Linked DNA regions of Arabidopsis thaliana. The protein of the gene in region 1 interacts with the protein of each later gene in a pairwise test. Each region holds a gene or a part of one and is shown in the gene's direction. Other genes may lie near its edges. The genes, in order: SDG14 and AT1G20910.

Evidence for each region.
Region 2: the proteins of SDG14 (region 1) and AT1G20910 interact in a two-hybrid assay, tested with the Arabidopsis thaliana proteins (one large-scale study listed by BioGRID).

What each region holds. Positions count from the first base shown.
Region 1 is NC_003074.8:22,845,628-22,862,586, reverse strand, and holds SDG14 (SET domain protein 14), read left to right. Parts: upstream 1-5,614; 5' UTR 5,615-6,038; coding exon 6,039-6,764; intron 6,765-6,847; coding exon 6,848-6,903; intron 6,904-6,987; coding exon 6,988-7,156; intron 7,157-7,425; coding exon 7,426-7,545; intron 7,546-7,617; coding exon 7,618-7,686; intron 7,687-7,775; coding exon 7,776-7,844; intron 7,845-7,936; coding exon 7,937-8,028; intron 8,029-8,164; coding exon 8,165-8,257; intron 8,258-8,459; coding exon 8,460-8,595; intron 8,596-8,702; coding exon 8,703-8,775; intron 8,776-8,861; coding exon 8,862-8,961; intron 8,962-9,052; coding exon 9,053-9,177; intron 9,178-9,365; coding exon 9,366-9,511; intron 9,512-9,610; coding exon 9,611-9,715; intron 9,716-9,857; coding exon 9,858-9,922; intron 9,923-10,003; coding exon 10,004-10,229; intron 10,230-10,336; coding exon of another isoform or gene 10,337-10,339; coding exon 10,340-10,579; intron 10,580-10,662; coding exon 10,663-10,752; intron 10,753-10,847; coding exon 10,848-10,934; and 8 more. Other genes in the region: DL1B (DYNAMIN-like 1B), read left to right, coding at 166-230, 422-616, 702-821, 923-993, 1,074-1,350, 1,445-1,813, 1,913-2,041; AT3G61750 (Cytochrome b561/ferric reductase transmembrane with DOMON related domain-containing protein), read left to right, coding at 3,333-3,539, 3,617-4,016, 4,101-4,690; RMF (reduced male fertility), read left to right, coding at 12,112-12,371, 12,775-12,974, 13,053-13,097, 13,231-13,395, 13,471-13,518, 13,617-13,787, 13,880-13,987, 14,078-14,160; AT3G61723 (PHD finger protein), read left to right, coding at 15,801-15,878, 15,976-16,119. UniProt on the Arabidopsis thaliana protein: Histone methyltransferase.
Region 2 is NC_003070.9:7,267,230-7,282,750, reverse strand, and holds AT1G20910 (ARID/BRIGHT DNA-binding domain-containing protein), read left to right. Parts: upstream 1-1,514; 5' UTR 1,515-1,772; intron 1,773-2,100; 5' UTR 2,101-2,115; coding exon 2,116-2,403; intron 2,404-2,536; coding exon 2,537-2,670; intron 2,671-2,755; coding exon 2,756-2,795; intron 2,796-3,164; coding exon 3,165-3,217; intron 3,218-3,313; coding exon 3,314-3,359; intron 3,360-3,617; coding exon 3,618-3,710; intron 3,711-4,152; coding exon 4,153-4,275; intron 4,276-4,430; coding exon 4,431-4,479; intron 4,480-4,556; coding exon 4,557-4,620; intron 4,621-4,790; coding exon 4,791-4,857; intron 4,858-4,968; coding exon 4,969-5,019; intron 5,020-5,261; coding exon 5,262-5,354; coding exon of another isoform or gene 5,355-5,432; exon of another isoform or gene 5,433-5,446; coding exon 5,447-5,542; 3' UTR 5,543-5,808; downstream 5,809-15,521. Other genes in the region: ESC (Putative AT-hook DNA-binding family protein), read right to left, coding at 8,792-9,727.

The sequences.
Region 1 (16,959 bases):
TTTTTGTGAGATATAAGCGACTAGGACATGGTAAATATGGTTTAAGTTCTATGGAGCATTGTATATATGATTGATTAGCATCATCAATGCTTAGATGATGATAGTATTTCGAATTGATTGATTCTTGTTGTTTAATGTTTGCTTCGCTGCACTTTATGCTATCAGGAGACAGGACTTTTGGAGTTTTAACAAAAATTGATCTCATGGACCAAGGCACTAATGCTGTTGATGTAAGTTTACATTCAGATGATAGTAATACATTCTACATATCATTAGTCAAGATTATCGTCTAATCTGCAAGCAATCTATCTCTAACTGCATTATGAAAGGACACAATGAAGATAAATATGAGAATCTCACTAAAGAATGGTTAGTGAATATTTAACAGTCCCTAAGTATTCTAAATGTTTGGAGATTTCAGATACTTGAAGGAAGGGGATACAAATTAAGGTATCCTTGGGTTGGTGTTGTAAACCGGTCTCAAGCTGACATTAATAAAAGTGTTGATATGATTGCTGCTCGTCGGCGTGAACGTGATTACTTCCAGACTAGCCCAGAGTACAGACATTTAACTGAAAGAATGGGTTCAGAGTATTTAGGAAAGATGCTCTCTAAGGTATATAATTGAGGAGCTTGGTATGTATGAAGATTTTAGCATAAAAGATTTTGTAGTTGCTCTAAAACCAGCTATAACTTTTCAGCATTTGGAAGTTGTTATCAAGTCTAGAATCCCGGGACTTCAGTCTCTTATCACAAAGACAATTTCCGAGTTAGAGACAGAGCTAAGCCGTCTTGGGAAGCCTGTAGCAGCTGATGCTGGTGTAAGGATCTTCTGTCTTAAGGACCTTTTAGCCTTTCATTCTTCGGTTTCTTGTCTCATTTCACATCCCTCCTTCGTTAATACTCATTCTCCTGAATGCAGGGAAAACTTTATATGATCATGGAAATTTGCCGTGCCTTTGATCAAACTTTTAAAGAACACCTGGATGGCACGTAAGTCATCCGCATGTTTCTGGATTGTTGCTAATTCAATTTTCTAGCTTTATAATTGATAACCACTAACAACCTTACAGGCGTTCAGGTGGTGAAAAGATAAATTCTGTGTTCGACAATCAATTCCCAGCTGCCATTAAAAGACTGCAATTCGACAAACATCTCTCCATGGACAATGTACGGAAACTGATCACTGAAGCAGATGGATATCAACCTCATCTCATAGCTCCTGAACAAGGTTATCGCCGGCTCATAGAATCATGCTTAGTCTCCATTAGAGGCCCTGCTGAAGCAGCTGTTGATGCGGTTCATTCCATTCTCAAGGATCTTATCCACAAATCCATGGGCGAAACATCTGTAAGAATATCTCTGCTCAAAGTCATAAACCCAACAACAACAATAACACTTATGAGTTTTGAAGCATGATTATGTGTTTTCATCATGACTACAGGAACTGAAGCAATATCCAACACTCAGAGTAGAAGTATCAGGTGCAGCCGTGGATTCATTGGATCGAATGAGAGACGAAAGCAGGAAAGCAACTCTGTTACTAGTGGACATGGAGTCTGGTTACTTAACGGTCGAGTTCTTCAGGAAACTCCCGCAAGATTCTGAAAAAGGTGGGAATCCGACACATTCGATATTCGACAGATACAACGATGCTTATCTCCGAAGAATCGGCTCAAATGTGTTGTCATATGTGAACATGGTCTGCGCTGGCTTGAGAAACTCCATACCGAAATCCATTGTTTACTGTCAAGTCCGTGAAGCAAAACGAAGCCTTCTAGACATCTTCTTCACCGAACTTGGCCAGAAAGAGGTAACAATAAAGATATACTAAAAAACCTATATGAGCAAATTGACAATTGTATAAGATACGAGTAAGAATGTTAAAATGGTTTGGTGTTAAAAATTATAGATGAGCAAATTGTCGAAATTGTTGGATGAGGATCCTGCGGTTCAGCAGCGAAGGACTTCGATTGCGAAGAGGCTGGAATTGTATAGAAGTGCTCAAACGGATATTGAAGCAGTTGCTTGGTCCAAGTAGAGAGACGAGACCCTCTCTTCACACTCCATTTTTTGTTTCTTTAGGATACGTTTCCTTCTACATTTTTTTGTCTCTTTTTTTTTTCCATTTGTCATTGTATTCGGTGTTCGAGTTATCATTGTTTCTGAATAAAAGTTTTTGTAAGACGATGGTTGGCGCAGTAGAATATGGTTGACCAAATTATTTTTCAAAAAATAAATAGATTTCATGGACTGAAGAAACATATGACGTGATCTCCTCTCTGTTTTAAACCACCGGAAAGAGAGAACAAAAGGAGCAAGCAAACAGAAGAAGAAGAGCAAACAGAAGAAGAAGAGCAAACTAAAATTAAAAAAATCAACAAAATTGGAGATGCGGGGAATCGAACCCCGTGCCTCTCGCATGCGAAGCGAGCGCTCTACCATATGAGCTACATCCCCATATTGGCTAACTTATTATGTTAATCCCTTTTATTATGTTAAAGTTGAATAATTTTGAATTATGATATCGATTACATAAAACGCTTAGTCGTTGACTGATACCGATCCCGCCATGCGTAATAGTAATACTGTTTAAATTGTTTTACATTACCATTTTGCAATTGCAACACAATACCTTTTTTCTCATTTGAGTTTGTGTTTTACAACGAACAAATGAAATTGTTTGTTTGTGTGATTGGTACTCATGGAAGCTGTAAAGCTGTACTCATTGGTTAATTTATTATTGTTTACTTTGTTTCCAAGTTCCCTTCCAATATCTCCTCCAAGAAAAGAAAAGATGATGTTGATCGTGGCACTATCCTGACCAAATATACCTAATGAGTAATGATTCAGACTAAGACTGATCCACTTCCCACTATGGTCCAGTTTACGACCCCACTCTCTCGCTCCCATCTCTGTCTTCTTCTTCTTTTTTTCCCTAAATAAGCAAAGTAAAAAACTCCAGATTGTCCATATCTTAAAAATCTATTCGTAATTTCTCAACCTCAAATAGCAATTGCCAATTGTTTTAACTGGCAAAGAAAAAGCAATAATTTCATAGCATCTTGGTATTTTTCTGTCGGTTCACGTGTCGATTTAGTGACAGAGGGGACATAAATTGTCCGATACTTAACCAGTGAAACATCAACTCCAAGTATCTTTCTCAAAATCCAACCGGAGCTGATTTAAAACAATTTGATGATTATGATTGATCTCCATCTCCAACCACTTTCACCACCAAACTCAATCACTCTTCTTCTTCTTCAAGTAACCATCACCCAAAAAGCTTCCATTGTTCCTCGCTCCTTCTCGTCTCTGTTTCGATTCCAACCATGAAAACTTTGGTCGGATTTTACATCCTCTGTTTCTTAATCGGACAAGATCTGCCTTTCTTAGCTGCAGATGACGTCAATGTCATAAACGATTCGACCCAGAATCTCTGTTTTGCAAACCGATTATCCGATTTCCTCCCTCCACCGTACAGCAATATCTCCGATAACATGCCCTGTACTCCTCTTTGGAACACGTTCGTCTTACGGGTAAACCGAAAAACATAAACCAACTTTTCCTAAAACCCATAATTTTGATTTTCAACGCTGCTTGCTCTGTTTTGCAGTACTCAGAAAACAGAGACAATGTGATGACGATTATAGTATCGGCTTTATACACAACCGGGTGGGTTGGGATTGGATTCTCGAAAGAAGGAAGAATGGTTGGATCAAGCGCGATGATCGGATGGATTTCGAAAAAGGGTCACGCCAAAATCAAACAATACTATCTCCAAGGAACGGAGAGAGACCAAGTTGTGCCGGATCAAGGAGAATTGCAACTACAAAAAGTCCCGCCGGTGGTGGCTCTTCACGGAGCAATGATTTACTTAGCTTTCCAGGTGAAATTCGCCGTTAGAGTTCCTCGGAGAGCTGTCATTCTAGCGTTTAGCACTGCTTATCCTTCCAAGCTAGGCCGTTTGACTAAGCATGATGATAAAACTACAGTCATCGTCGATTTTTCCAAAGGTAATATAATGTATATACTAGTCTAATCTATACATGTTAAAAACAGGGGAGAGTTCAATAGTTGTATGTTCTTGGTCAATGCAGCTAGTGGAGCAACCTCCATAAAGACGACAACTTCTACGGAGAAGACAAAACATGGAGTAATGGCGATACTCGGATGGGGTTTCTTACTTCCTGTAGGGGCAATCCTAGCAAGATATCTAAGACATAAAGACCCTCTTTGGTACTATCTTCATATCGGTTTTCAGTTCACGGGCTTTATCTTCGGTTTAGCCGCAGTTATTCTTGGGATTCAGCTTTACAATAGGATCCAGCCGGATATACCTGCGCATCGAGGCATTGGGATCTTTCTTCTAGTCCTTAGCACTCTTCAGGTTTTGGCTTTCTTTGCACGGCCACAGAAGGAGACAAAGATGAGGAGATATTGGAATTGGTATCATCATTGGATTGGGAGGATCTCTCTCTTTTTTGGAGCAGTGAACATTGTTCTTGGAATTCGAATGGCGGATAATGGAGGAGATGGATGGAAAATTGGATATGGATTTGTTCTGTCAGTCACGTTACTTGCTTTTGTTGTTCTTGAAATATTCAGGATTCGTGGCACTATCGGCTCACCATCTTCTCGCAGCCCTCCCTCTTTTGAGACACATCCAAGTTCTAGTACTAGTGTTTGATTCAAGATCTTCTGTTTTTTTTTTCTTGTACATAAAGGTACTTTTTTTGTTTTCCCCATAATCATTGGTCACTGATTTTATAGTCCATATGTGTTGTAATTTTTTTTTTTTTTTTTTGGTTCGGCAATATGATTTTCAAGTGGAAATCGGTCTTGGTTTAGACTTTAGAGCAACATGGTGATATTTGTTTTTTTAAGGTTTGTTTCTTTTTGGATCTCAATTTGTTGTCATGTAAGTTGAGTTTTGAAGGTTGTTGTTCCTGGAAAGTGAAATATACGTAATTCTTTAATTCCTTATGAGTTTGTAAATGTGCATAGACGTCCCTAGACCCTAAGGCTAACATTATGGAGCGATTAACAAAAATATGGTCCTTTTGTATGCAAATGCAATCTCTCATCTTTCATATAAATCATGAACGTATAATTGGATGATAAGTTTTGAGTCTTATTTGAAATGAAAAAAGGATCATCTTCCTCCATTGTCTGGTAATGTCAAAATGTTGTTGCATGAGAAACATACAGTGTTCATATTGGGCCTAACTCGAAGTTGTTTCTTTTATTAATTGTCAAAATGTTCCACGAGAAACATCGTAGGCCCAATATGTAGCCCAACAAGCTTCGATTTTTCTAAATAAGTTGTGTGACAAGAAGAAAAACGAGAGAGTTATTTATTGATGCGCCACGTCAGATTTGATGAAAAGGAAGATTTCGACTTGGCGCTCTCGTACGCCTGAAAATTCGCAGTCTTCCCTCGTCCCCAATCCCTGGAGCCAAACACTGTTCCATTCAACCGCCACGTCAGCATATTCGTTTTTTTTATTTTCGTTTTTATTATTTGTTTAGGCGAATTAATTTCAGAATTAACCATAAAATAATAATAAGGAGAAATATATAAACCGACGACGGACGGTGTGTGTCTCCTTCATCAGAACACAAAGATCCTTCTCCTCCTCTTTTGTTTTCCCTTGCCGTCGATTTTAAGGTTTTATCTTCTCCGTACTGAAACCGACTGATAATTTTCTCCAGGGAATCTACGAGGAGGATTTGTTGTTTCTCCGTCGTTTTAGAGTTTAACGATTTCTCCGTCGTTTGATTTCTTAATTCTATCCTGTTGAGGGAAACGAGAATTTGGTTTTCGTTTTCGAATTTAGGGTTAGAGAAGCGGTTTCGCATTGGGTTCGTTGACTATTGAGCCAATTTGCGAGAGGAATTTAAACGTTACGAGTTTCTTCTTTTTCCTTCCGGAGGTCCGAAGTGCGAAATCTGTTTTGTTTGATGAAATTAGGGTTTTGGAATCGGAATTTGGATAGTCGTTTATGTTGAATAGGCGAGGATTGCTTAGGTAGGATATGATTTTGAAACGGACCTTGACGACATTCGAGAATCAGAATCTGAAGCGGTGCAAAATTGATTCAGAAATTGAGTATGGGAGGAAAAAGGGTGAGATTATAGTGTATAAGAAGAGACAAAGAGCAACCGTGGATCAACCATGTAGCAAAGAACCAGAACTTCTTACTAGTAGCTCAAGCTCCTTGACAAGCAAAGAAGAATCTCAACAAGTTTGCTCTGACCAGTCCAAGTCTTCGCGTGGCAGAGTTCGAGCGGTTCCTTCTAGGTTCAAGGACTCCATTGTTGGTACATGGAAATCTAGCCGTCGCAAGGGAGAGTCGACGGAGTCTAGTCATGATGACGACGACGTATCTCTGGGGAAGAAGGTCAAAGGTTTCAGTGGAAGCTCGAAATTGCATCGCAGCAAAGACTCGAAGGTGTTTCCACGTAAGGATAACGGAGACAGCAGTGAAGTAGATTGCGATTACTGGGATGTTCAAATTTCCTACGACGATGCTAACTTTGGTATGCCGAAAAAGTCCGACGCCTCGCGTAAGGGCGTGTACAAACCAGAGGAATTTACGGTTGGCGATCTTGTGTGGGCCAAGTGTGGGAAAAGATTCCCAGCATGGCCGGCTGTGGTGATCGATCCGATATCACAAGCGCCTGATGGGGTCTTGAAACATTGCGTCCCTGGCGCAATTTGTGTCATGTTTTTTGGGTACTCCAAGGATGGAACTCAGAGGGTAATCTCTTTAATCCTAATCTGTCTTCAAGCTGGCGTTTATTTTTACTATCTTTTTTTCTGAAAACTTGTGGTCATTAACAGGACTATGCATGGGTAAGACAAGGGATGGTGTATCCATTTACGGAATTTATGGACAAGTAAGTACATGAGACGCTCTTTCTGGAAATCTTTCATACTTGTGTGTTTGTTTCTTGTTCCTTACTAGTCTTTCATCTCTTCAGATTTCAGGATCAGACAAACTTGTTCAATTACAAGGCAAGTGAATTTAACAAGGCACTAGAGGAAGCAGTTTTAGCAGAAAATGGTAATTTTGGAGATGCTGAAATCATCTCCCCAGATTCCTCTGCGACGGAATCCGACCAGGACTATGGACCTGCTTCTAGATTTCAGGCACGTTTTCTTGACACATATTCCTTTTCTTTTTTTTGGTTAGATGTTCAAGTTTGCTCTTCTAATTGTTTTGGGAAGACAAAAGTAAATCAATTCTGGACAGTTCTATAAGCATCTTGTAGTGTCTACGTCTGGTGATATACTTTCTGTTCTAAGTCATGAAGTTTAAACATACTACATAGGCGTAGATGTACTGTTTGTATCTGACTCTTTTATAGTTACTGGAAATACCTTCCCCTAAACGATTTGCTGATTTAATTATTGTGTAGGGTTCATATCATGAGGACATAAGGACATGCGACGGTTGTGGCTCAGTAATGCCATTAAAATCTCTAAAAAGGACTAAAGACTCACAACCGGAAGAGCTTTTATGCAAACACTGCTCAAAGGTTCTTATCAAAACTTCCTCCCTCTTCAGTTTTCTTTGATCGACGGGAATTGAATCCAAATTTTTGTTTCAGTTGCGGAAATCCAATCAGTATTGTGGCATCTGCAAGAGAATATGGCACCCTTCAGATGATGGAGATTGGGTGAGAATATCTGTGACCATGTTTGGTGAAATACTGACCTGAGTAAGAAATTATAATATCTATATAGCTGACTTGATTTGATGTATTAGGTTTGTTGTGATGGGTGTGACGTATGGGTACATGCTGAATGCGACAACATTACGAATGAACGCTTTAAGGTGCCGTTATACATCGCCGTGCATCTTATCTTTTGATTTTAAGTATTGAAGACTATTGTCGAATGACTGTTCTAATTTGGTTTCATCTTAAGGAACTGGAGCACAACAATTACTATTGCCCTGATTGTAAAGTCCAACACGAGCTTACGCCAACAATATTAGAAGAACAGAACTCAGTGTTTAAGTATGTTGTTAACATCTCATGTTCTCTCACTTTAGTCTTCTCGAAAAAAATATCTTCTCCTGCTTTTATTATTTGCATTGTTCTATTGCTAATTCTTTAATTTGCAAAATTCCTCTTCACAACCTCTTTGGGACAGGTCTACAGAAAAGACAACAGAGACTGGGCTGCCTGATGCGATTACTGTAGTCTGTAATGGCATGGAAGGGACATATATCAGAAAATTTCATGCGTAAGTATTAGATGCATCATCTTTATTTCAATTTCCTCATTTGAGCAGGATTTTGTTTGTCCATGACTGTACAATGCAATGCCGTAAGATGATTTTTTCTCTGAAGACGACAATTCTGCGCTTGATCCTAGGCTTCTGTTACCATTCTCTTGTTGTTCCAGAGATTAAAACAACACATTTATCTTGGAACTATTGTTTTCAGAATTGAGTGCAAGTGTGGTTCATGTGGGTCAAGGAAGCAGTCACCAAGTGAATGGGAACGGCATACAGGCTGCAGAGCCAAAAAGTGGAAGTATAGTGTAAGAGTGAAAGACACAATGCTACCTCTAGAAAAATGGGTACATCCCTTATGCTTAACTCTCTCATAAACTTTCCCTTATATACCCCTGAAATTTACATGCATGATGTCTATAAGAAGTATAATACTGACAACAAGATATTACAGATTGCAGAATTCAGTACCTATACTCTAGAAACCCAGATGTTGGATAAGCAAAAGATGCTCTCTTTGCTAGAAGGTAGAGTATATCTTAATTCTTGGCGTCCTTCTTTTGGAGTTTAAAATTGCTAAGATACTTGCTTACTACTTATTTTATATGCACAGAAAAGTATGAGCCAGTCAGGGCTAAGTGGACGACTGAAAGGTGTGCTGTATGCAGATGGGTAGAAGACTGGGAAGAAAATAAAATGATCATCTGTAACAGGTTACTTTAATGGCATAATTTGGTTATACTGAATTCTACAGCGTTCTTATAACTAAACATGAGTCATAAATCTGACCAAATCTGTAAGCAGGTGTCAAGTGGCTGTGCACCAAGAATGTTATGGGGTAAGCAAATCTCAGGACCTCACTTCCTGGGTATGCAGAGCATGTGAAACACCAGACATTGAGAGAGATTGTTGTCTTTGTCCTGTAAAAGGTACTACTGCAGAATTAGCTCTCTTTATGATTTTTTTCCTGATCTTGCATTAGTGATGTTTTATTCTTGACTGTCCTGTCACAAGGTTCCATACAGTCATTCTGAGAATTCGCTTTTGGGTAGATGTGCTCTAAATTGAACTCACTTTCCATATTTCTAGTTCTTTCCTGAACTCTTCCATTATGTAGGTGGTGCTTTAAAACCAAGCGACGTTGAGGGTTTGTGGGTTCATGTAACATGTGCTTGGTTCCGACCGGAAGTTGGGTTTTTGAATCATGAAAATATGGAGCCTGCTGTTGGACTTTTCAAAATTCCAGCAAATTCATTTCTTAAGGTATAAATGAATGCTAGAAGTGGAAAGTATAACCAACATGTTCTATTAGAAGTTTTATTATATTATACATCATTCATATTTTCTGAAAATTCCTTTTAGGTTTGCACAATTTGTAAGCAGACACATGGTTCCTGCGTTCATTGCTGCAAGTGTGCAACTCACTTCCACGCAATGTGTGCATCACGGGCAGGTTACAACATGGAGGTTAGTCAAGTCCTTAAACTGCTTAGCCTCTGTGCTTATGATAATCTTCATTTTTCACGTTAAACCCCTTGCAAAGGTGTTCTGTCCTGTTAGTTAATCATCTTAGGGATGTGTAAGTGATGTTTTTGTCTATGGAATTTAGTTGCACTGCCTGGAAAAAAATGGTGTGCAGAGAACCAGGAAGTCAGTTTACTGTTCATTTCACAGGTTTGTTTCTCCGACATATTCTTTAACTGACCTGTTATGTGATACTGGGACCAACTGATCGCCTGTATCATTACTATGTAGAAAGCCAGATCCAGATAGTGTTGTAGTTGTGCACACACCCTCAGGAGTATTTGGCTCTAGAAATTTGCTTCAGAATCAATATGGGCGCGCCAAAGGTTCAAGACTCGTTTTGACCAAGAAGATGAAGCTTCCAGGTTTCCAAACCCAAACCCAAGCTGAACAGAGTCGTGTATTTGATTCTCTTTCTGCAGCAAGATGCCGTATCTATAGTAGATCAAACACAAAGGTATGCATCTGGGGATCTTGTTTATTCTTGGACGTTGGAGAGTCTTTCGTTATTAACTATTCCCTAGCAAAGCTACTACTTCATATCTTTTACTGCTGACGTTTCAGAAGATTGATCTGGAGGCTATATCCCACAGGCTTAAGGGACCAAGCCATCATTCTTTGAGTGCAATCGAGAATCTAAACTCTTTTAAGGCAAGTTTCTCATTCCGAGCTCCATTCATGTCAGTGTTTTGCTTTCTTGGGGCAACGTTTTCTGAATATCTTAGGAAGATCTTAATTTCCATTTACCTTGTTACACACCAGGAAGCAGATTTTACATCATTCAGAGAACGGCTAAAACATTTGCAGGTAAACATTGATTCATGAAGAGTTAATATTTTCTCCATCTTGTTATCCTAGAATATTTATAAACAATATATTATCTTCTTCAGAGGACAGAAAATTTTCGAGTCTGCTTTGGTAAATCTGGCATACATGGATGGGGTTTGTTTGCAAGGAAAAGTATTCAAGAAGGAGAAATGGTATTTAGTTTACGTTGTATTATTCGTGGTTTTGATATGGCTAAATTGAAATTCTTGAGGCAAACTAACTACTGATTATTAAAATTCTTGTGCAGATCATCGAGTATCGTGGGGTGAAAGTTAGGAGAAGTGTTGCAGATCTGAGAGAGGCAAACTATCGTTCGCAGGGCAAAGATTGTTACGTAAGTTCCGATTGCTTGCTTGCTTAGATTAAAACATTAACCGCTGCATCTAATAAGTAACTTATTGTCTAACAACAACAACGCAGCTATTCAAGATAAGCGAAGAGATAGTAATTGATGCCACAGACTCTGGGAACATCGCACGATTGATCAATCATTCAGTAAGTTCCCTAAATTGGCACACGAGATCAAAACCTGGTAATTAATACTAAGGATGTTTATGTCTTGTGCAGTGTATGCCCAATTGCTATGCTCGTATAGTGAGTATGGGTGATGGAGAAGACAACAGAATCGTCCTCATTGCAAAAACCAATGTCGCAGCTGGGGAAGAGCTTACGTAAAACATTTCTTCAGCTTCTCTTTTCATAAGATATAGATTAAATCCATATGCATTATTAACCTTGATCATGAAAACCTATTTCTCTACAGGTATGATTATCTCTTTGAGGTTGATGAATCTGAAGAGATCAAAGTGCCCTGCCTTTGTAAAGCTCCAAACTGCCGCAAATTCATGAACTAGAGCTCTCTTAAGTCTAAACCATTCTTGCAAACGTTCAAACTTGCTTTCTAATTGAACAGTAATGGCGGTGGGAAGCTAACCGATTTGTTTCCTCGGCGGCTAGCTTACGGGAAATCCCTTGACATGATGCTGGCTTCTTTCCGATTGATTCATTAAATGTACATTCAGCTAGATACTTTTCCGGCGTAGCAATTTTGTAAATGTCTAGAATTCACCGACTCTAAGAAAATAACTTCACAGCCAACAACCTAAAGTTCCAAAATGTTGAAGTGTTAATATAGCTTTTAACATTTTCCATAATACAGTTTCTGAATTTTCTATTAAAAAAAATCCATACTATCTTGATTTTTCATAATCATGGAAACCACACTCACTGGGACCCTCTCGGTTAATGCTACGTCTGTTGGTGCTAAACCGGGTTCTAACTAAAATTGAAAAGTATTTTAAAAATTTTAAAATCTACAGAGGTAGAAAGTTTGTTACAGGGGTATATACGTCATTTGACATTCGAAATTTTCAAATTCGCTGTGTCTCCCTCGCGGCTATATATCACAGCTACACGGTTCAGAGCAAAAACCAAATTCTGAAACAATTTTCCGCTTAACAAATTAGCGACTAGTGAGATACTGAGTGAGAAGAGAGATAGAGAGAGAGAGAATGAAGACGAGATCTAGTGATGCCGAAGGAGATAGTAGAGGGAAGATGATAGCTCCGGTGGGAGAAGGAAATGGTGGACGGAAGAGAAAATTGGTGCAGAGCAACGAACAGAAGAACGATATTCAGAGAGAAGAAGATGGTAGAGCTAAGAGAAGAATCGTTCAGAGCAGCGACCAGAAGAACGGGAAGATCCTCAGAGGAATTCGTGGCTGTGTATCTCCACGGTGCTCTGCTCAGACTTACCAGTCTCGCTTTTCATGGTATTTTCTTCTCCCCTATGAACGAAATAGATCTATTCTCAGATATTATTTGTGTGTGTGAGTTTGGGTTGAGCTCGAATTTGATTTTGAAATGTTTGTACGGCGTTTAATCTTACTGTATTGGATGGATCTAGGAGATAGAGTTCGATCAATCATCTTCGGTACCTTCTGGAATCAATTTGATTTGTATGAGATTCAGATGCTTATATCGATCTCTGATCGTGACTGTGTGGTTGCTGAAACCTGGGATTTGAGTTTTTCTTCATATTATTCCGCTTTCAATCGTCAAAAACTGAATCCAGATTCAAACGAGGAAGAATTTTGAAAATCACATCGCTATATCACGTTTCTTAGATCTAAGTCTCTATATCAGCGTATCTTATAATTTTCTCTGCAAAATCAGGTATGAGCAAGATATATGGACATACATTTCAAGGTTTTTGGATGGTAAATCACTGGTGAAGCTGGGAGCAACAAACAAATGGTTCTATAAGATCGCAATGGAGGATACTGTTTGGAGGTTTGCCTGCTTGCGTGATCTTCAGGTCCCTGTGCCGTTTCCCGTTTCTTCCACCTGGATTAAGATTTATGCTTCAGCTTTTGGTAAGTTTCACATCCATTTCGGACTTATGATACATTCTTCTACAATGGTAAACTAAGAAAAGATATGGAAAACTGCAGATGGGAGTCACTCTTACTTGTTCCGTCAGAAGGAGAAGCATATTGGTTAGTCCTTGAATTGGATCCATCATACTCTCTTCTTAGTCATGTTAAGATGTTGTACAGATCTTTGACTTTGAAGTACTTCATTTGCTGATCACAGCCTCATTTTGATCTCGTTTTGACACTGTCATTATAGATTGGATGCGGATAGGTGCCTTTGTTCTTGACTCTCGAACTTCACTCCTGACTGAGAGTTTGAGTGGTCGTCTGAAATTCCCAAGGGAAGGAACCATAGAACGGATGTTACAATCCAGTGGTTCATGTCTTATCAACGACATCAAAAGCGGTATTTGGATTGCAGGTAAGAACAATTTCTTTAGAAACTTTATCTACTGCAGAAAAAGAAAACTATAACATGGCTTATCTCATGTTCCAGATTTACAGCTTGTACGTTGCCCTGTTTGTGACCTCAGTACCTGTGATGGTAAAAGACACTAATCAACTTCTAGTCTGTTTCTATTGATGTTAGTCTATGAAATAACTAAATTGCAACTAAGAGAGTTTCTGTTTTACTATGTATAGGAACAATGCAAACTCTTGATGCTAGGCACATTGAACTCTTCCTTAGTGAAGGCTACAAAGATGGAAGCTGGGATTACAATCTGATCGGATCTCATAAGTTGCAGAAAAACGCAAGTGCAGCTTGTGGAGCCATATTTGACCTCAAACACCTTAAAGAATCTTCATATTCAGGTAACTTCAAATCTACATTACTTTTCTGTTCCTTTACTCCTCCTCTTTAGATCATTCTCCTTGGGTCTCATACATTTTCACATGAATAATAGGTATTCTCAACCTCAAGTCTTGGACCGGAGAGTCAAATGATTCCCAACCTAAAGCAGTTATCGCACCCCACGCTGTTGCTGTTCACACAAGACTGCAAGAAAACGAAGGTACATGTCCAAATCACTTTGCATAATCAACCATCTTTATCTAGCAAGTAAGAAACACAATTACAATTCTTTTACAAATCTAAATTGCAGGAATCCTTGTGAAGTACCACACAATGAAAGCAGGAACAGACGGTGACATTGTTTCCATCAGAATCTCCCAGCAACTTCTCTGATTCCTTCACAGTGCATTGTCTCAAAGTCACACAAAGCTTTAAGCATTTCTAGTATTCAAATCCTTTTCCTCTTCAGTAACATTTATTTGTCCCCAGAATATGTTGCAAGAATAATCTGACTGAATATTGAACTTATATACACAACACAAACCCAATGAATATTTAAGAAGCTTTAGTGTTGGACCATTCTATAACGAAATTAGACTATTTGCTGTTTGGCAAGATGATGACTTGCGCTTTATAATGAATGAGATGTAGGAAAAATGAGCTGGTTTGCCATGCGTCCATAGCATCCTCTAAGAAAGAAGACTCTGTTTTTGCTCTCTCAATTCTATTTACTCTGTTTTTGATCTAGCTCTGTTTCTCTTATTATCAAAATATCAAAAAAGCTGATGTAAAAAGTATATTTTTTCTTTTGAGTATAATTTGACATTTTATTCAAAAAAAAAAAAAATGAGCTGGTTTGATGTTCCGGTTCAATAATGGGAAGACAAAAAAGACGAGAAAAGCCAATTGTTCAACAAGCCATGGTTGCAACCATGGTTCAGGTTTAAAGAGAAACTCTATTAAGAATAGTCATAATAAGAAAACAGAACAAGGATATCAATGACAATGCACCGGTTTTAATGGTGGTTTTTAAGCTTCCATCGGGAGCTCTCCGCAGGCATAGATTCTGCAACCTTTCTCCTGGGATTCAAGTGTCCTCACAAGCTTCATACCTTCAATGACTTGTCCAAACACAATGCATGTTATCTAACCATGGAGTCTGCACAAAGAGTAAGAAAACCAAAATAACAAAGTTTACAGATGATGCCAAGGGTGTATGAATCTTTTACCTTTACGGTGAAAATGAAAAGTAGTCCTTTCTAGTATTCACCACGGGCGATGAAAAGAGCCATCAACTCATATAAATATTTGAATTTGAGCCAAAATTTAGTCTAAGCACATATTATTAGTTAGAACACTTAGTTTATCACTATAAAAGACATTCGTCAAAGCAGTTGCAACACCTAACTTTTGTTAGTCTAAATTTACAAATCTTTGTTTTGTATGAACATTTAATTATGGTTTCAATATAACCATTTTAATTGTTTTGTATTTAAATGCATCAATGCCAGTTTATATATTACAAGTTTTGTTCACATTAATTCTAGTTTATTATTTGAATTATTTTTTCTGGTAAGTTTAGGATTCTATAAATGTGTTTGGCAATTGGTGTTAAAATAATCAGAATAGGTAATATCAGGAAATATATGTGTTTGGCAAAATTTGGTGAGAATAAATGTGGGCTTACCACATTAGGCCTAAATTAATGAGCTTCAAACAAAATCTGAGGCCCACACAATTGGGCTTGAAATAATATGGGCCTCATATCCATTTATTTCTACTATCCTTTTTTCTCAACTTCTGCTCATTAATCTACTATGCATGGTTCAGACACTGTTCAAAGGTTCTTACCAAAATTTCCTCACTCTTCAGTTTTCTTTGGCCAAAAAGAGTTGAATCCAATTTTTTTTGTTTCAGTTGTGGAAATCCAATCAGTATTGTGGCATCTGCAAGAGTCTCTTTGACCATGCTCGGTGAAATACTGACCTGAGTTATAAACTATTACATCTACAATATGTAGCTGACGTGATTTGATGTATTACGTGTGTTGTGATGGGCGTAACGTATGGGTTCATGCTGGGTGCGACATCATTACGAATGAGCGCTTTAAGGTGCAGTTATACATCTCCGTGCTTCTTAACTTTTGATTCTAAGTAGTTAGGACAACTGCCGAATGACTGACAGTTGTAATTTGGTTATCGTTTTAAGGAACTGGAGCACAACAATTACTATTGCCCTGATTGTAAAGTCCTAGAGAGTCTCTTCCCAGATACAACACGCAGTGGTTGCACGCCTCTCTGGATCCGTAATGCCGCAGCCAAGCGAGGAAGTCGCGAGGACAGGTCTCGATGAGTCTACGATTGAGTCATACAAGAAAGTTGAGCTAGGGGAGAGTAGGAGACTCCCGACCGGGTCCAGTGATGTTGTATGTCCCATTTGTTTGTCGGAATACGCAACCAAAGAAACTGTTAGGTGTTTACCTGAATGTGAACATTGCTTCCATACCGAATGTATTGATGCGTGGCTCAAGTTGCATAGTTCTGCCCGGTTTGTCGGCGCGCGATTAATTGTTTTTAATAGTCTTGTAACGTTTGTATAGAATTTGGAATTTGGATCTCTCTATAATTGCATTAAATACTATGTCAAAACCAAACCCAAACCCAAACGCCAAGAGAAAAGTAAAAATGCCAATGAGAGAATTCGTAGATTTTCTTCGGCAGATTCTATGAAACCACGAAAATGGGAAAGTATTGCAAATTAATTTCATATAAACATTTTCATCGTTTTAAAGTTGTTAACAATTTTAGTTTACAAATAATAGCAGATTACATTGTTTCTATTAGGAAAGAAGATATTACATATAAGCATTCGACTCTTTGTAAATATCCTATAGATTATTCTCTAAATCTTGTTTCTCTATTCAACTCTTTGTGTATATTCTATATGAGTTATATATATATATATATAATATATATATATATATATATATATCAAAAAGAATAATCAAGCCTTGCTTTAGAAGAAACCTAAGGAAGCTGACCGGAGAAGACGGAAGCAAAACAAGTCCCAAACATTGTCTGTGAGTTACTTCCTTTGACTCATCTCTCAAATATTTACCGCTTTATTTGCTTCATCTCGATTCTTCTCTGCTTCTTTCTCTACTAAAGGTTCGATCTTTAATTTCCCCTAAGA
Region 2 (15,521 bases), on another chromosome or scaffold:
CGATATAGAACATTCTAAAATCGTAATTATTATCCACCCAAACCCGTCCTACCATATAATCCAGTCCCGTGAAATTAAACATAATTTTGTCATTTTCTTATAAATTTCAATATTATAAAATTTGAAACTTAAAAAAATACAATATCGACCCAATTTTTAAGATTTTTCCTGTAATATATCATCTCGTATTAATATATTTTTTCTATATTTGTAATGTTTAAATTTCTTGTAAAATTCAATTTATAATTTTTAAAACTTTATAAGTTTTAAAATTATAAATATTTAAAGCATTTTTTAAAGATAAACTTTATAAAAAGTTTTTAAAATTATAATATTTAACATTTGATAAAGTTATAATATTTATAATTTTTTGAAACATTTTAAAGTTTTAATTCTTTAAAATAAAAAATCCGAGTAAAATCGGATAACTATTTTAATTTTGGACGCCTGATAAATCAAGCTTCATGCTCATTCATAATCAGAATCATTTTGGTCCTTTTATAATATGGGTCTGAACCATTGTCCAATTTTTCTAAGCGATGTTGGACATTGTACACATATTATTTCTTCATAGGTTGAATAATATATGTCCGTTTTAAAAAATTTGAATTACATCATATTCAGAAAAAAATATAATATTTTATTAACTATATATATTTTATATAAATTCAAAATAAATAAAGTATAAGATCAAATAAAATTGAAAGAAGAATTATATATTTATGTTTAAATTAGGTAGAAATATTTTAGGAAATTAGTTAAGGTAAATAAGAAATATGGTTAGTTTAGAGATATTGTTTATATTAAATTTGGTAATTAAATCATTAATTTTCGTTTTTAATTATTAGTTTTTAGGTAACTTTTCCAAAAACTAATGTTATCCAAGATCAGAACTGAATTAAACATGTTATCCAGGATCTGAACAGAGTTAAGCCGAGTAAAACCCACCCATTTGAATTAATTGTTGAATTATGGCTCAAATCTTCAACATTATCTTCAAAAATCCCCTCCAAACATGTATATATAGATATTTCCATTATGATATAGTTTTCACATCTTAACTCCAAATCATGAAACCTAAATTTTATTTCCAAGTCTCAACATCATATATTTTAATTATCATCTTGAACTTCTTGTTAAAAATATAAAATTAATTCATAAACTTTTCTATAAACCTAAGTTTTTTAATATTTTTTGTATCGTATTTATACTAATTTCGATCTTCTTTGTTTCCTCCGTAATCGTTGTCGTAATTTCGTAAACCTAAATTTCATATAGCTCCTTTCTTCTATGTATATATGTTTTGTACAATGTTTCATATATATAATAACACCCTTTGGCAAAAAAAAAAAAAAAACTTTTTCAATGTTTATCTTTCGTGGTTATTACATATAGTAGAAATCCCAACATTCAACAACAATAAAAGGTTACAAATCCTATATTTACCAAAAATTAAGAAAGTCTAAAAAGACTAATAGATACAAAAAGAAGAAAAGAAATTGTTTACTTTTTGAGTGTAAAACAAATTAAAGTTAAAAACCACATAACATCCCCCATCCCATCTTTTTTACTAATACCTTCCTCCATTAACATAAGATTGTCTCTCCTCTTTCGAATTGTCTCTCCTTTTTCAGCTCTCTCTCTGTATCTCCTTCTTCTTCTTCTTCCTCCAGCTTCTTTCAATTTCTCCGGCTGCTAAACCCTAGCGCGCCGTCGGAGTCCCTGCGTTCTCATACCAACCTTTACTCGCCGTCGCCGTCGCTGCAGAACTGGTAAGCATATGTTTTTTTTTGCTGCTCTCTGTATTCTATGGAAGCTGAAAGGTCTTCTCGGCTTGTTTATCTGTGGTAGTTTTGATTAGGATGAGGTTTTGTAGTAATAGAGTGAGTGAGTTTGCTCCAATTCTTAATTGCGTTTAGAGATAGAAGAGAGAGAGAGAGAGAAGCTATAGTTTCCAGGCGGAGAAGAAAGACAATTCCTTTTTGTTTAATCTGGAATCACCAATAGTTAGTTATATACAGTTTTTTTATCTTCTTCGTTTTTTTCTTCTGGATTTGTTCTTTTGTCCTTGTCTTGCTGTGACTGACTACTCCACAACAGAAATCGAAGCTTAAGATGGTGGATACCGAAATGCAAGAGCAAGATGTGACTTTTGGTGCCCTTGTTGAGACAAAGTATTTAGAGGAAGAACCTTTGGAGCCAGAAAATGATCACAACCCTAGTGAAATCCCGCAGCCCCTTCTTCTTGGAGATGGTCAGGCTAATAATGGTCATGGCATGAATGGTGGTGCTGTTGGAGTTGTTGACCACTCTGAAAGGAAGACTCGTAGGGTGCAAATGTTGAGTCCTAAGACTGAAGGTGAGAATGCCAAAAAGAGGAAGACTTGGCTGCTGGATTCTGAGGTACTAGGCTATGTTTCTTTCAATTTGGCTCAAAAAGCCTGTGTCTTTTTGTTTTCTCAGGATTGGATTTCACTGTTTTGTGGTCGAAAATTATGTGGTGATTGTTCACTTACTGGTTCACCTTTCTCTACAGGCACAGGGAACTGATGAAGCAGGGACACCGGTAGAACAAGTGGCGTTTCTAAGAGAAGTGGAGGCCTTTTACAAAGAGAGTTTCCTGGAATTTAAACCTCCTAAGTTTTATGGACAGCCTTTAAACATTCTCAAGTGAGTTGTTGGAAAAGTGGTGCTTTTGTTCTTAATAAACCCATATATCTGGTTAATCAGTGCCTCACTTTTGCATCCAATGTAGGCTTTGGCGAGCAGTCGTGAACCTAGGTGGCTATGAAGTGGTAATTATCCAAAACCATATCGTTTTTAGTTCGTCAGTTTATAAGTCTTGGTTATTTAAGTTGGCCCGTATGATTATCACCTACATTTTATTGTTTGAATTGTGGATGGCATATGAACTGTATATAGGGTATAACTATTGAATCCGTAAGCTAATTTATGATAAGAGTATCTATAACGATGTGGCTTTCAGAGAAGATTTATGACTTTAAGCGAACATATCAAACATTAAAGAATGTTCGATATTTTCTTGGGAAACTGATTTATTTTACTGTTGTTAGCTATATTTGGAATTATATATTCAATGTTTTCTTAATCTTCTGCTGGACTTATGGTCTTTAAGATTCCTTTGTTTTTTCATGGTAATGTAGGTCACCACAAATAAGCTGTGGCGGCAAGTTGGAGAATCCTTCAATCCTCCCAAGTATGGCTGATATTTTCCTTAGACTCTCCGTTAGTCTTTACCAATTTTTCATAATGCTAATCTTTTTCCACATTTGGTTAAACTATCTTTATTCAGGACATGCACAACAGTCTCCTACACATTCCGCAATTTCTATGAGAAGGTGAGTTTGTTTTTGTGCATAAGTATCGTATATTTATCCTGTCTTCATTTTTACTTATCCACTTCAGACAATTCTCCTTGTGCTTCTTCTTAGTATGGTGTGTTATAATAGTTAGTTTAATTCTTTGTCTTGCTGAGGTAGCTCTTTATTTTGGACTATTCTTTTGTCACTTCGAAGTTTGAATGCACTGCTTGTTTTCTTTCTATCTTATCATATAGATACAGGTACATATGATCTATATCTTTGCTTCAATTGCAGGCACTTTTGGAGTACGAAAAGTGTTTAAGGAATAATGGTGAGCTTAACCTTCCTGGTTCAACATTGATTCTGTCTTCCAGTGTCGAGAAAGAGGTATGAATTTCCCCTAAAAAAATGGCTTTTGGATTTTAGACACTACTGAATAATATATAGAAATAATGGTAGATATGGAAAGTTTGGATGAAGATCGATCTAGCACCGTAAAATTAATGAAGAGTATCTACTTGTCAATTTATTGTGGGAAGGTTTCATGTACTGTGATTAAATGTCGTTGATACTGAAGAAATGATAGCATAAGAGTTATTTTTCAGCATTTATGTAATACCAGCTAAACCTTTTAAACCCAACTATCTGCAATCTGACTGAAGAAAGCTGTAGCCATTTTGTGTTCGATACAAAAGCCATAAGAAATCCGTGTGCATAACCCAGTAAATTACCATATAAGTTGCAGAAAACCTAAACGAAAATTCATGTGCCTCCCTTTTTTTCCCTTCTCCATATTTTTTTCTTCCCTGATACAAGGACTTTGCTGTAGCCAAGTAGCCATCAAGGTTCAGGGTCAGGCAGGGCACGAAGAGATTCTGCAGCTCGTGCTATGCAAGGTTGGCATGCGCAGCGCCTTGTTGGATCTGGAGAGGTTACTGCGCCTGCTGTTAAGGTTTCACTTCAAATCTTACTGCACTTTGTGATTCCATTATGCAGAATTTTTTCATGCACCAAGGAATCTGACTCACATGTAGAAAGAAGAAGACTTTTTATTTCTTTTGTCGTTTTTTATTTCGGAAGTAAAATGATGTTCTCCTTTTGTTTCAGGATAAGGGCTTAATTTCCACCCCAAAGCACAAGAAACTCAAAAGCATTGGTACAAAATAGTTCTCAAGGCTTTGCTATTTTGTCAACGAGGGTTGCTTAACGTTATGTTTTAAACGGTTTTTTCAGGGCTGCAAAAACACAAACAACAAACTAGCATGGACCATGTTGTTACAAATGAAGCTGACAAACAGTTACGGAAAGCTGATCTCTCCTTCTTATTTGCAATTCTAAGATAGTTATATTAGTTTTTTGGTTCTTCTTTCAATGCCTCTTAGCAGTAATGAGATGAAAACGTAGCATTTTCTGGACCTGAACATATTACTATAGATTAACGTTAAGGTTTCCTTTTTGTCATGATAGGTTGGCTGCTGAGGTTGTTGATGTTGGACCCGTTGCTGACTGGGTGAAGATAAATGTCAAAGAATCTGTGAGTAACTTCTGCCAACGGCTAAAGAAACGCCAAAAACTTGCAAACTGGATGTTTGTTTCCAATATGGAATTCTTACCAAATCTGTTTTCCTTTTTCTTGAATTCACAGAAGGATTCCTTCGAGATATTTGCCTTGGTACCTGGACTTCTTCGCAAAGAGGTGAGCACTCCTTTGTAACCCTGTCTCTGAAGGCTACTTGATAAGTCCTTGTCTTTTAATTTTGTTTGAATGCATATTACTGTGACAATACAAAGCAAGCACAAAGCGATTTGGTAGGTTACCAAAGCAGATCCGTTGGCTTTAGTTTCATAGTCTCAGTACACAGTGTTGTAGGCAATAAGTATTTTCTGGTAAAATCAGTACATAGTTCCAATTACTGAACATACGTTGTCTTTTCTCAGGTTCGAATTCAATCAGATCCTGCGGGAAAGGTGGTTATAACAGGCCAGCCAGAGCAGCTTGACAATCCTTGGGGGATTACACCCTTCAAAAAGGTAAAACTTTCTTCTATATTCCAGATATGTCCATTAACTGAACTGATACAGAGACTGAGAACCTTCCTGTCATTTTGATATGTTTTCACCAGATTGTTGACTTATCAGCAAGAATTGATCCGCTTCACACATCCGCGGTCATGAGCATGCATGGACGGTTGTTCATACGAGTTCCGTTTGAGCAGTAATGGATTTCAAGAGAGCTGGTCAGTTGTTCGTGGTTTCTTCTAGGAATTCATATGTTTCAGAACCAAATTGTTAGGCGGCTGAAGCAGTTTTGTAACTGTGATTTGAATCTGAAGACTGAAGTTAGGAACATGCAACAAACATTTGATCTTACTGTAATATTTCTCTTTTGTATAATTTGAGATTAGTAGGAGAAACTGCTCCAAAGACATTTAGGATGCAACCAACAATGATGATTTTGATCTAAAATCGGAATGTTATGCTTTTCTTATACATATTTTTTTAATAGAGATGAATAGATTTGCCTATCCCATCTACTAGTTCTACTTCCAATAGTATACTTTTAGGTTCTCATGCGTTTCGGTTTTCAAAAGTTCTCCTGAGATGATTTGTTTTCAAAAAGTGAAAGTGAAAGTATGCATATATTGGTGGTGCATATTATTAAAGGGAAAACGAAAACAGCAAAAAACTTATTGACATTTCCCTGAATCTAAAAAGTTCATGATCGGGAATATATGATTTAGAAAAGAAAAAAAGGTTCATTACTTGTTTATATATATATATATATATGTATCATCAATTCATGACGAAAATTTAAGGTTCAAAAGTTTTGAAGCTCACTCTAGTTTTTGAGTCATCAGAAAATACTGCAGTATTAAGACAAGAAACATTATTCTCAACTTGTTTTCTTTCTCTTTAATCATGCAAAAAGGTTCACACTTCACAGTGATCAAAAAAGGTTTTTTATTGCTGATTCTCAACTTGGTGTAGCTCAATTGCATGTAAGGCACATGACATGACCGCATGGGAATTTGATAATATTTACAACTACAATGCTCTTTCTCCAAGCCCCCAAAAAAAAGTCATATGATTCCAAGTATATGTATTGATTCTAATTTATATTTTATATATTTTGGCAAAGCTAAAACGTTTTTTACTAAGAGACATCTGATCACTATAATATTTAGCTAAGAACTGTAGATTGTGACTTGTGAAATTAATCTGCAATTTGTTCCATGATATCAGTTGTAAAAAAAAAACAAATCATCCTAAAATAGTTAGAACTAATTCAATCAATAATAATCATACATCTAAGTTATAACATATTCATCAAAATTTTAGTAGCTTTACAACCCCAACTATGTATTGCCATATGCCCATATTGCACCTATAGCTGAATAGGCGTAACAAAGCTACCTGAAAGTAGTTAACTATAATTCGTTTTAGTATGTTGGTATCATTTAAATAACTTTAAAACTTTCTCATGAAAAATAAAAAAATATTACTACTTGCTTAAGCTTCCTTTTGTTCCTAGTCAATAAATATGTCCCTAGGGAATTGGAACATTCCTCTTTTTCACATATCTTGGTAATCAAAACCCCATTTTTTGTTATGTTGTGACAGAGACTAGCTCTTAACTGACACTACAAATGATTTATGTTCATTGTTAATCTTACCATGTTAAGTTCACTAATTTGTATGTAACCGACGTACGTGAGATAATCTCTACTTCATGTTTCTACTGTGCTCTGTAACGGTTGTCTTTAACCAATATACATTGACTAAAATCCCAAAAAACAATACTATGCTCTAAAAATGGTTAAAGATTAGATGAATAAATGGAAAATAATAAAGATGTAGTATGAGATATGAAATAAATAAAAGTAATCCCCTCGTTATATATTTTGCATAATAGCAGAAGCATATTCTTCTATGAATGAATTTGTTTACTTTTCAGTGGGATGTTAGATAATGATTCCATTCTATTTAACGAATATGATTAGTTTTAGCAGAATATAGAATTTCACTCTTTATCTCTCTAGTTAGACAAGTATCCCCAATATCATTTACTCGTTCTTTTTATCAATATATATATATATATATATAAAAACTCATATTTTGTAGTGACGAAGAAACACGAAAATAGTAATATATAAACCGGTATAAAACCATATTCCATATATATATTTAAATTGTTGGGACAGAAATATATATAGATTGAGAAAGAGCAGAATATGTATTTGAAGTGTTGGTTGAGAGTTGAGACAAATTCTCCATACCAGCCAAAATTAAGGGGTTGGAAATCTCAAACCAAAAACTACGATTATAACATAAATGGTACTGTGCATATGTGACCTATAAATATTAGCTTAAAGCTACGTACTTGTTGCCAACCTGTCTTTGAATAATGTTGGATACAACTATTTTACAGGATCGACGGTTAATTAACTGAAGCATTAATGCATATTTTATGCATGTAATTAAGTAACTGTAGTGATCGAATGAAAAAGGTCATAACATGGCCACTAGGTATACATGTAGTATTTTTAAAACACTAGAAACTGTATGAACGCTAAATAGTTTAAAAATTGCCCATGTTGTTTTCCTAGATGGTAAGACTCGAGATCGCTTAGACGGCCCTGTCGTAATTAAATAGCCAATTACACCAATCAATGGAATTTTCAACTGTAAGTACAAACGGCTAAAAAGACGTTCTAATCAGGCAAGTGGTTAACTACAAAATTTAGAACGATGCACGTTTTGATCAATATGTAAGCATATTCTTAACACCTTATATATAGATGGGTATATATGACAGTACTCTTAACACAATAACACCGTATAGATAGATAGATATGACACAGAAGTTGTGATCTTAAAAGGTATACTCGGCTAAAAGACGCTACAAGTACTCAAATGGTACGAATAATGAATTTAGATGCACAAAACGTATATATTGATCAATATGTATAATAATTTTCTAACCTTATAATGAATACTACATTGAGGTTGTTAAAAAGTTGAAAGAACTATATTATACTATGATTAAGGTAACGTATTGACGTATTGTAAAAATATTCAAATGAGCGCCTGAGATGTGCCCACATAATATTTCATCAAGAATACGCCGTGAAGCTCAAAATTCTTAAAAGAACAAACGAACTCATTATTGAATAGTCTAGACCTATATATCTATCAAATCGAGCTAATTATAATAATAGTTATAGGGTACAACACGAAACCCTAGCTATGAATAAAAGAAAGCCATATATGGAAAGGAATTTTCTAACATAACGAGACACATGCATTTCTCTAACATGTAACATCTACCGAAGATATGAGAAGAAAAGAAATAAACACGAGAAACCAAAATATGCATATCAACTAAACATTAAACACCAAATATCCCAAAGGAAAGACGACTCCACAAGATGATAAAAACACATAAATTTCCGGACATTAAAATTCAATTAAAAAGGTGGTCTTGAAGGTGTTCCAGCTCCCCATCCAAGCAAATGAGGATCACCAGAAAACCCATAACCACCCACATTACCTCCTAACTGTCCCTGACCGGTCACTCCAGACGGCGGAGATGCTGATGGAGCTTGTTGCATCTGCGGTGGCCCTCCTCCTCCTCCTCCTCCGCCACCACCACCTTCTTCTTCCTCCTCCTCAATCGGTAGTCTCTCGAAAACCGCATTTGAGAACGAAGCCGCCATTAGTATAACCGGAGCTGATGCAATAAGGGGAGCCACAACGCTTCCTCCGACCACCTGACCTTGCCCTCCGGCTAAAAATATAGACAAACCACCGGCACCAGGCGGTGCAGGAGGTGGCAAAACAGTCCCCGTTAGCGAAAGAATCTCAAACCTTCCATGTAAAGTCACAACTCCTCCTCCTCCGGACACACCACCGCCATTTCCAGGAGTGACTGGCTGACGGAGAGTGACGTTAGATACGGTGCCGTTTCCTCCTAAAACGGAGACGCCTCTCCCTCTCCTCCTAGCGTACGTGGAAACACTCTCAACTATGTCAGCTCCAGGAGATACTTCAAGAACGTGAGATCTAAGCGCGTTGGGGCTATCACGAGTTACTATGATCGGTGGCTTGGCTTTGTTCTTAGATCCTGGTGGACGTCCACGTGGACGTTTTCCCGGTGCTGAGCTTGATGTATTCGGGTCTGAATCGGGTCGACCCTGTTGATGATGATCTTTGTTTGAATGGTCAGATTCTCTTGAATCATCCGACGGTTGTTGTTGTTGTTGATGTTGCTGGTGCTGATGATGATGCTGGTCGATAAGATTGATCCCGCCCTGCGGTTGAAGCTGTTGGTGGTGAATCTCCGGTCTAAAGAGGTTATGGAAGTATCTAGAAGCTCCACCGCCTTGCTCGTAACCGCCTTCCATCGCCGCCGCATCTACTAATTCCCTATCCCACCACTGCTTATTCGCCAGCTCAAATCAATTTCTCGATTCTTGATCCTGCTCGTTCATATATTGGTAGCTAGGTGAAGAAGAGCGTAAAGAGAGAAAAAGAAAACTCAGATCGAGAAGTCAAAACTCATGATTTTGAGGAAACAATAGCTAAAGCATTAAGGTGTGATCGGTTACGCAAGCCGACAAAATATAGAAACAGACCAAGAACAGAACTAAATTAAAGACGAAGCAAAAGATATAAAAAAGGTGACTTATGTTAAATGATCTCTCTCATGAAAGGTAAGAGGAAACCCTAGTTAGGTAGATTAATTAGGGCAAGAGAAAGAAGTAGCTTCTTCTTTGCATAGGAGTCGTATTTAGCGATTCTGATGTGCTATGGGAAAAAAAGGAGAGAGAAGCTTGAGATTCATGTGCGACTCTGCAATAAATTTTTGGTCCTCTCATTGAACGAGGAAAGTAAAAGCAAAGACATACACCGAGAATTTAGCGGAGAAACAGTCCCCTTTATTATATCATTAATATAATAATTATTATTTGAATAATATGTTCTTTTTTAAGTAAATTAATACTATTTATTACATATACACAAATGCCGACAAAAAAATTTATGTGTGTAAGTGGTTATCCTTACATAAGATCTACCAAAGAAAACTAGGGGTTCGTCGCAGTTTTTGTTTGGCTCCAATCGGATAATACAAAAGAAATTTAGAGAAGGAATTCTTATATTTGAAAGCATGAGATAAGATTAACAGAAGAGATAACATTTGGTCAATTTGTTTATCAGATACTATTATATACGAGCTAAAGAAAACGTATCATTTAACAAAAAAAAAAAAAAAAAAAAAATGTCAAGTGGAAGTTGGGTACACAAGGATTAAAACGAATCCTACATTCCCTTTAAGGCGCGTGGAGGTTATGTTTAAACAAAAGTTATTTGATAAATGTTATTATCATGTTACTAACTTATTTATGGTTTTAGTAACTTAATTAAAAGGTTTTCGTATAAGTAAAAATGAGAAATAGTACTATTTAGTCTTCTCTTACTTGAGAAAATACTACTATAGGTCATTTTATTTAGAATTTTAATTTACTTACGCATCTTTTTATTGTAAAACTTAGTATAAACTTGCATTATTACTAGATATTTGTAGGCTTGTGATTTGCATAGTGCTGCTGATATATGTTATTATTCATATTCAAACTGGATGCAGAACGTGAGTTATATAGAAGAAGAAAAGAAAAAAAATTTACATGTATAGTATTATTATTAGTTTTGTCAACTAATTTTGTAAAAATATAATGTATAATAATTTAAAATAGATATATAGTATATGGCTTGCGAATACAATATTCTAAGAAGAACCCACGTTCTATAATAAACAAACGGATACGAACCATCTTTACTATAGAAAAAGAAGAAGAGAATTAGTCACTTTTAAGCGCTGCAGAACAACAATTGATTAATTCTGCTTGTGATGTGTTTTTTTTTTTTTTTGGTTGCTACTAAATTATCTTGCTAAACCCGAGCTAATTATATATCAAAGAATCAATGTTCTACTAAAGTACTTTATATTCACTTTTATTGTCAAGAGGGCATAAGGCGCATAACGTAGAACAATCAATCTAGGTAATGGTCCTTTGTTCTATACTGAGATAGTGAGATCTACCCATGTATACTCCTTTAAATATCGTAAAACGGAGTGGACCCTTTTTGATGATAAGTTTGGAGAAAGTTAATGATCCATTAATGTGATAAGACTAGCTGATAATTATCAAAATGTCAAATTAGTTGATACTACTACTTTATATTTTCAAAAATTATTGATAAGTACTCCACTTTGTTGCCTTATGTCGAATTTGGTGAATCACTAATTAGAACTACGCTTTTTCTAACATGGACAAAAAAATATACCAGAAAAAGACAACTAGACACTGATAATTTATTGATTTAGAATGAGTAATGTATTAGTAAAATTTTTTTTTGATATATCATCTTCATACAAATGATATCAAACTTTTAATTTACAAAAATTGTTTGGGAAACAAACGATAATCCTGAAAACACTTACCAATTGCATCAACCCATTCAAATAATTATTGACTTATTCATCTTAATTTATTGAACTGACTAAACTCGATCCGACCCATTAATGCATGACCTCATATCGGACCGTGACTGGTTGTCTTAATTTTTAACTGCACCCATATAGTAACACCTAAGCTCCCTCAACGTGGACGCATGTGGCCTGAACCATGGTGGGACCAATCTCAGTAGGAAAGTAGGAAGTGGATCGGAACCGTCCATCCTCATGGCATGTGGGACCCAGGAACCGTCGTTTTCATCGGCGTAACCTGGCGAGTCAGGGCTCGGTGCAATGTACTTGAACCGGACACGTTAGCTTGGTCCGCACGTGCACAGACAAAAGTCACGTGCGGTCAAAAGGTCAGAGCATGAAAGTGAAAGCCAAGCTGTGTGACCACGTGGAGGCGGTCGGATCATCGGTACTTGGTCAATACCTTATCCAATCACAGTACTCCTCCCGAATCTATCTAACTTACTTTCGCGTCTTTTGCCCGTATTTCTAATGCTTAAAAGCAAAAACGTACGTGAAGTCTTTTGTGTGCGGTATTTTAATCATAAACTGGTCCAATTTTTTTCTATCGATCGAAAACGGAATGTGTGGAACTATCAAGATACTTCGAAAATAAGTGAGATATGTTTTATTTGCCCCCAAAACAGAAAAGTGAGAGGTGTTTCATGTGATATATAATTTAATTTTAAGCCATAAAGAGAGAGAACTACACGTCATCCAAGTCTATAAATATGTGACTGTACCTAAGTTCTTATGACGCTGTCGCTACTCGTCTAGATCATGAACACATTTCTCTCACATTAATTAAAGATTATATATGTATTAATGAATTCAGACGTCCAGTTACTGTCGCGTGGAATTCAATGTTAGAGAACTCATTAGAGAAAACTAAGTTAAGTTCTTGGTATCCATAAGAGTTTATATATTTACCAAACATGGAATAAAAGCAGTTCTAAATTGTTCCGACAAACACGTAAACTGATCAAAACATATATATATTTTTTTTTTTTCCCAACGACCAAAATATCTCGTAAGGATGCAGTAGATATGTGAGGTTCGGAGGCACTAAAGAATATCAATTTGGTTTCGGTTCATAATTGATCCCTTGATGATCTTGTAGCTGTTATTGTTCTTCTTTTTATTGTGGCTAGCTATTGCTTCTTCAGCCTACGCCCCTACTCCATATATGTATCTCCCCAGTCTGCTCTCATGCGATCACGAAAGGGTATCTCTTTTAGGGAAATCCAACAACTGGTGAATAAAATGCTGGCTCTTTATATCTAGAAAAAAAAACATCAAACAAAAAGTAAAGGTCGTGAGACTAAATATCATACCCTCTTTAACAATAAATAATATGGGCAAAAAATTGTGATGATTTAGGGATACCGTACCCATCAATCAGTATGCTAATTTAACTTCTATATTTATGTTCTTTTGTTTTTTTTGCTTTCTTTTCTCATCAATCAAAATACCACGAGCCAGATGTATATAAGATATTAATGCCATCCTTAAAGTTTATACTTACATAGCGATTCTATTCTCTACAGCACCTTTAAATTTTGTTTTTATAGTTTTGAAAGTGTAAGCAATGAGTTCGCTGTATATAAAATGAAAAAAAAAATCTAGCTAGTCTTGAACTCTCAGTTCTCATTAATTTTATGTACGTTAGTTAAAAAGTATTGATTTATCAATTCGTGGCTTTTTTTAAACCAAGTAAAGAACATGTATTATAACGAGTTTCTAACTCAGCTAAGTTTGATTATATTTTCTCCAAAAACTCGAACATCAATCGGGTGAAGACTTTCCCCCTTCTATCAGGAATTCAGAATTTAATTTACTAAATATCATACTTTGGAAATATTATTCATTGATAGTTCATAGTTGATAATGAATATATGGATGCATAAAATCCTTAGATAAGAAAACAATCAACAAGTCTAATCGAGCTCTTTATATCAAATTATCAATCAAATCATACTTTTTAGTTTGTCGCACGGAATCTAACATGCCCCGCATGTTAGCTTTGTACAAGAAGAAATACGTAACGATGAGTTGCACATTATTAGAGTAAATTAAATTGCTTTAGTTAAAATATTTGGCAATGATCTTCTGATAAAGTGGATAGATGAAAACGCCCCTGATATTCTTTTCTATTTTTTCTATATTAAATCTTAAAATTGTGCCTCATTTGTTTTGGTAAAAAATAAATAAATTATTTTTATATCTTAAAAAAAACGATTTGATTCCATTGACCTACAGTATTGCGTATTGTATGTCGTATGATAATAAATCTACATTACTCGAAAAATAAATATGAGAATCTAAGTACCATGATATGATTAATGGTTTGTGATAACATTATCACTATGTTATCATTTGGATTCAAACCTAAATAAAATACGTGAACCTAACTAAGTATTCATCAATCTATTTATCTAACAATATAATGGACTGTAAATTTGTTCTACAGATCAATAATTACATGGTCATATCCTTAATCATAGCGTTTTGTGGCCATCTCTTCTATTTCTCTATATATTATTAAGCTATATATGAAGGTATAGTATATATATTTATAAATAACTCTTACGACTTTGACTTGACATTTGATTCTACATAGACAACTCTAATAGTATGAATTGAAACCAGTATTTTATTGCTCCTATCAACCTGGAGACCTTGGTTTCCCAAATATACCTATGTTACTATAAAAATAATATGTGTATAATAATATTTTTTACCTACGTAATGATGCTCACAAGTCACAAGTTTTTACAGGAACTAGTAAAAATCAATTTATTATCAGTGGTCTCCAGACTCTCCACTATATTTTTTTTTATAAACAAACTCAAAAGTAGTGTGATCAATCAGAAATTACGGGTCAACTTTTTCGATAATGCCCAATCCCATTCTCACATCTTTGGCGACTTGTGATCTACCACCACCCCATCCACCAATTTTTAAATTATTTTATAATAATAAAAAGCCGGAGAATAAAACAAAACCAAGTGTCTTTTCAAAACTAAATGCCTATTTATTGTTTTTTTCTAGTCAATTTGTGGAGAAAACCTATCAAACTAAAAGGTGTTAGAAAATATTGTTGGATTAAATATTATAATTTGTATATAGTAAACATTAAAAGGTGATTTTATTGACGTATAATAATCTAAAAACCAAAAATAAAGGTGATATATTGAATAGAATTTAACTATTTAGTAGGAAGGAAGCAACATGGGCAAATTGCCAATTTGGTTTATAAAGGAGCCCACATGTTTACCTTACTATTTTGGACTTTCTGAGTTAGTGTCGAAGGCCTTTGGGCCCATAAATGGACCCCACAAAAAGACAGGACAAAATATCCTTAGAACTCGCCACGTAGATATCTCGACGTGGAGATCTGACCACGTGTACAGTTTATGTCCTGATTTTCGCAAGAGTGACGTGGACGGGTCATGATCCGCTTATATTTTCACTTTGTCTACAAGCCAAGTATATTAAATTGGGCCTCAAATTAGCCCAATCAATATATCAGTACATTATTAATCAAAGGCCCAAGTCTCACGCTAGCGATCGTCGACAACGATTTTGAGTCTTTCTCCGAAGTCGCCGGAATCGTATTCGCCGATCCAATTGTCGCATAGAAACTGTCATCTCCGGCGAGAGACTGATCT